Linked DNA regions of Kluyveromyces lactis. The protein of the gene in region 2 purifies or fractionates together with the protein of the main gene of each other region. This does not show direct contact. Links are inferred from orthologs where the notes say so. Each region holds a gene or a part of one and is shown on either strand. Other genes may lie near its edges.

Region 1 (3,149 bases), on a different chromosome or scaffold from region 2:
TGTGTCGGTTCGACTACTGCCACTTTCTCTGGATGCGCCATCATCTCTTCTTACTTATTTTTATTCATTGCATTTTACATTGAAGTGTACAGACGTCAAGGCACAAAGAAGTCTAAGGTTGTTAAAAGAGTTCGTGGTGGTGTTGCAGCTAAGGTTAACGAATATGTGAATGTCGATTTGAAGAATGTGAGTACTCCCTCTCCTTCTCCAGCTCCAAGAAAGAGAAATACTAGATCTAAGAAGGCATAAATACATGTTTTTGCATGTAAACGTTGTAATATTCAACACACGCTATCATTTTTTATTCTCTTCTCTTCATCCTTGTTTATTTATGTTACATTTTCTTATGGATGTTTTACCTTCAATAGGTTTCCTGTCATGATTTGGTACGAAAGAGAACTCACGTAGATAACTAGAAATTTAGCCTCTTTTGTAAGTAACTATTGATTGACGTTCAAGATTACTCTGACGTTTGTTTTGAAGAAAGTTTGAATATGTCGTGTATTATAAAGATATCGATATGCTTCTTACACAACTAAACTTTGGATTCAATATCTTTTGATCTTTGTTTAGATAAAAATATGCACCTTTTTATCATTTCAGGTGTGATCTTAGAGTCACCTCCGATGATTGTTGCAGCCTTGAATTGACCATTTTTGTTCGTTGTCAAGGACAATGTAGATAGAATTGATGATTCCTCGGCCTCTGTTTCTATATCCGCTAATAATACTGAAGTTGGTTTATCCACGTCCATTTCGTCATCATTTTTGGCCAATTGTGCTAAAGGTTCGATGTCAATGATTCCGTAGTTTGAACCATAGCATAATTCTCCTTCGTTCAATTTTAAAGGTAAAGATTTGTGTGGGTCGCATAAGATGTCGTATGTTTCACGAATTGTCATACTACGACCTCGGGTTCTTATAGCAATTTTCAAATCAGCAGCACGTTCGTCTAGGAAAGCTCTAGGTAGTTGCACTGTTTTTAGCGCACTAATCAAAGAATTCCAACAGAGATCATAAATTGGACCGTTACGGCTGAAAACTTGTATTTTGGCATAAAGCACATAGGACCATTTCCTATTGTTTGCTTCATTAATTTTTTTCTCCTCATCGAGTAGCTCGTCACTGTATATTGTGGTGACACTTCCATCTTCTTCAGTCCTGCGAATACCGCACGATACAGCCAAAGCTGTTTTCTTAAGAATTCCAGAATGTAAGAGTGTCTTGTATAGCTTTTCTGAAGTGATCATCTCTTCATCGGTAGGACCACCAACACGTCCACGTTGTACCTCTACTACGGGATAAATAGTTGAATTTTCGCAGAGCCTATCAGTATCTTCTGAAAGCTTCATCAATTCTTCTTCTCCAACATCTTCAGTATTGTTCGCCGGTAATGTCTCTTCAATGATGCCACCCGTTATCGAAGTTATCACAAAGGTCTTGCCAGAGCGTAGAAGACTGGAACCAATAATGTTATTTGTAGTTGCATTTTGACAGTTCGTACTGTACCTAGATATATTACCATCGTTAATGGCAACATCTCTGAATTCTTCGAATCCTCTTGAACATGGTCGAGTTTCCAAAGACAAATGTCTTTGTAAGGAGATGTCAGGCGAAATTCGAGCTAAAACTTCGGGTGGGAAAACTATTGGATGTATATCAATACTTTCAGTCATACTTGATCGGTTGTAGCAACTCCTTGGCGGAGTTCCTCCATCCTTAAGCCCATGCGATGAGCTATAATCGTTTGTAAAAGACCTAGTTGAAGTTTTTCACTTTTTTATACATCCTTGACGTTATGAAGGTTTGAAAGATTTATGCAGTAATAATGGATGGAAAACACTGGTATAAACCCCTGAGAGGGTCGAACACTATCAGGAATCGATACAGTATACTGGTTATGCCTTTCAATTCTTAAGTGACAAGGTTCTGAATAGATCTGCGGACTCCCTAGGCTGCTTAAAAGAATATAATTCTCACGTGACCGATATATTGATGTGATATACCCTAAATAACAGCTAATCCAGCGAAAGGTGGGATAGATGTCAAGTGGTACGTTACATCTTCGTTACTTTTAATTAGCTTAAATGTAAAAAGGTACCGTTTTGTTCTCTGCTTTGGGTTTATTTATGGACATCTGAAACGAAATGATAAGAATTATATGCAGGATTTGACAGTATATACAATGCATTAACTGCGACATAAAGAGCTTGGACCCCAAAGTAAACAAGACAACAGTATGGGCATAGTTGTCGTGGGATCGTTAAATTTTGATTTGGTCACGTATACGGAGCGTGTTCCGGTAGCAGGAGAGACCTTCGTTGCGGATTCGTTTGAAACACATGCTGGTGGTAAGGGGTTGAATCAATGCATTTCGCTCGCGAAATTAACCAAACCATCTGATGACCAGACAAGCAACATTAGGATGGTTGGCCACGTAGGTTCTGATTCATTTGGAAATCAACTACTATCAAAATTGCAGTATCATAACATCAATACAGAATATGTTGAAGAGGTTGATGACGAGTCAACTGGTGTTGCAGTAATTATAGTGGAAAAAGCTAAGGGACAAAATAGAATCATGATTACAGCAGGAGCGAACAGTAAGACTATGTATTCTGATAAGCAGCTTGAAGTGATGTTTCAAAATAACGCCAAAGAATTCATTGTGTTTCAACATGAAATTCCTGATCCTCCTTCCATCATGAATTGGATAAAGGCAAATAGACCAAACTTTGAGGTAGTATTCAACCCTTCTCCATTTCATGCATTAAAAGTAGAAGACTGGAAATCTGTTGATATTTTAATTGTTAATGAAATTGAAGCCATTCAAATTGGCGAATCACTGTATGGTGAAGCCGTGGTTGAGAACTACAAATCGAGAATTGCGGAGAGCTTCAAGCTGGGATACCTAGAATTAGCGCAGTATTATCAGAGTAATTTGATAAACACATCAAATTCCTCGGTTGTTATTATAACTTTGGGAGAATTCGGTGCAGTTTTTACCTCTAAGCAAAACGTTAAAGGAGGTCACGTTCCTTCAATAGCGGTTGAGAAAGTTGTTGATACTACTGCGGCTGGTGATACCTTCCTTGGAGCGGTAGTATCTCAATTATATCAAAAACGCGATCTAGAGAAAGCTATACAGTT
Region 2 (2,727 bases):
ACGATCTGAATTAATTGTCGTAGCTTCATTAGTGGATAAAGCACCCAATCTCGGAGGTATTTGTAGACTCTGTGACGTGTTGGGTGTCGGTACTATGACAATTCATGATATTAGAGTCAAACAGCATCCTCAATTCAAAAATGTTGCGGTTACAGCGGACCGCTGGATGCCTATTGAAGAAGTTCCTGTCGATGGTATAATATCTTACATGAATGCAAAGAAGTTGGAAGGATATACGTTAATTGGATTGGAGCAGACTGATTCTTCCATTCAACTGAATTCTGAATTTAAATTTCCATCAAAATCTGTCATTTTACTAGGAACAGAAGCTCATGGTATTCCAGGGCATTTGTTAAAGGAGTTGGATTTATGCTTAGAAATCAAACAATCTGGGGTAATAAGATCCATGAATATCCAAACTGCAACAGCTGTTATCGTTCATTCGTACTCGATCCAGCATTTATAGATATGCATTTATAATAAACACCCTGAAAAGTACCTATTTACTATTTAAATGTTCCTTAATCTGAAGCATCCAAAGCTTTTTCAATATGTGGTGCGTATTGACGAATTAACTTGAACGCTTGTTCTAAATGATGCTGACTGAACCCTTTGATATTATCGTTATTCAAGCCAACAGATCTTATCGGAGAAGTAACCTTATCTTTGTACCACGTAATTAGAAGGCCATTGTTCGATACTATGCTCTCTTCAAAAGTTGGATCCACAAAAACACCGTCTCCTACAATTGCGAACGTAAACAATAAAGGAGCATCTGCCTCTAGCTTAACCATATCGTAATCATGGAATGTGGGTAGCTCCTCCACTTCTAAGTCATCGTCGTTCGATATTAGTTTCGGTAGCCATGTGTTTTTCAAAGCGCTGAAAATGGCGAAAGATATCATTGAGATCGGGTATGATTTGGAGGCAAGCACCAAAACGTCAATGTAAAGTTTGAAACTGTACCTTTTCGTGAGCATTAGCTTTTTCTGATCAATAGTTTGTTTGAGCAATTTGGATAATAGTGAAGACATGCTGGTAACCAATGGAGAGTCATCTCTGTGGCCTTGGATGTCGACATCAGCAACAAGCAATTCTTGTTCTACCGTATGGTCCACGACTTTAGTTTTTACACTCACTATACACTCGCTTCCTCCGCTTAATATCACACGGCTGGATCCATTAGAATTGGGAAGGAAATCAGTAGATACTTCCAATGGTCTAAATTGATGTGGACCTCTTCCATCCGGTCTTAATGGGGGATCTAATGTTAGAGAATCGTATAGGAACGATTTTTCAGTTAACGAAAGTCCCATTATCTTCTTATATTATTTGATTTTTTTTTTAACGAGATGGGTCTGCTTCGTGAGAAGATAACTCGCTTTAAACTCAGATGTTTCTATTGCTGTTGATAGAAGGGAAATAAGCCTTTTCTCATCATCTCATTGCATCTCATCTCAAGCTCATATAAGTCAATACTGAAATTAGTTCAGATTTTTCATTTCTTCTTTTCGCTAATGCACATTAATATTCGGTGTTACCCGGATATAATTGGCCATTAGTGAGATGTTCTGTCAGGTGTCAGTCACGGTTCGAAGTACTAACATACGATGAATGCTGACTGACTGATATTGAAGTTGTACTGATACAGGGTGCTGATGTTTAATATATATACAAATACATCAACTGTTTTATGGACATAATTATTCCTTATCTTTTGATTTTATTTTTGTTCTTGGTCGGTTGCCCTTTGCTAACGATTCTATACAGTAAGATTGGAAATACCAGCAAATGACATACTCCAATGATGCAGAATAATATTGTGACTTTTGCCAGTAGATAAGAGAACGTTGATTCGTTGAGATTTCTATGATCGACATCTAAAGCATGCAATTCCTGGCCAGAATCCGCACTGACCAACGAAAACAGGTCATCTCTACCCTGGGATAACAAATTGAGATCATCATCAGTAATCAAATCCCACTTCTGTTTCTGAATCAGATCATTAGACGTGATGCTAATTGCTACTTGCTTCACACTATCTATGGCATTCCATGAGGAGTCTAATGAAAAGTTGATAAGGCATATTTGGAAATTCTGATGTTCGTATACGCTCACGTAAAGCACAGTTTCCCCATTCTCTAAACCATGTCTTGACTGTACCAAATTTTGGTCTTCGTCATAAATATCCATGTTGACAACCTGTTTTCCCTTTGAACTCGTAGTTGGACCAAACCTATCCACATTAACTTTCCATTTAGTAAATTCTTCAATTTCAATGAGGAATTGTAAATCCTTGGCCTTAATATTCGTATTCATTTCGAAACAAGTTTGATAACTAGACGCGTCACTCGAGCCGTCAACTTCCCATTTTTTATATGGCCACAAATCGAATTCTAATCGATTTGGGTTTATCGGCAGTTTAAGGGTCTCCGAGACAACTGAACATATCAGTAAAAGGACATATATCAACGATATCACCATTTAAACAAAAAGAACAAAAAAATTACTAGCTGGAACGAAATGAACTGGGTATAATAACAAACGAAAAGACCACAATCTAATTACTGAAGCGAAAGCTGTGGATTAGACCCAAAAAAAAAATTTTGTCTGGCCGAATAAGAACACAAAAAGATATTGACAACACGTATGAAGCACTGAGAAACAACCTTAAAGGGAAAAAAAGAATTGTTTCGATTTGAATTGAACCTGATGCTTTATAGATGG

Evidence for each region.
Region 1: the proteins of RRP42 (region 2) and RRP43 purify together in Saccharomyces cerevisiae (affinity purification with mass spectrometry; 5 studies listed by BioGRID). This does not show direct contact. The link is inferred for Kluyveromyces lactis from reciprocal best matches to the Saccharomyces cerevisiae genes RRP42 and RRP43.

Annotation. Positions count from the first base shown.
Region 1 is NC_006039.1:318,824-321,972, reverse strand, and holds RRP43 (exosome non-catalytic core subunit RRP43), read right to left. Parts: upstream 1,676-3,149; coding exon 536-1,675; downstream 1-535. Other genes in the region: KLLA0_C03542g (elongation of very long chain fatty acids protein), read left to right, coding at 1-249; RBK1 (putative ribokinase), read left to right, coding at 2,239-3,149.
Region 2 is NC_006041.1:823,823-826,549, forward strand, and holds RRP42 (exosome non-catalytic core subunit RRP42), read right to left. Parts: upstream 1,317-2,727; coding exon 522-1,316; downstream 1-521. Other genes in the region: TRM3 (tRNA (guanosine(18)-2'-O)-methyltransferase), read left to right, coding at 1-466; RRT6 (Rrt6p), read right to left, coding at 1,711-2,484. UniProt on the Saccharomyces cerevisiae protein: Non-catalytic component of the RNA exosome complex which has 3'->5' exoribonuclease activity and participates in a multitude of cellular RNA processing and degradation events.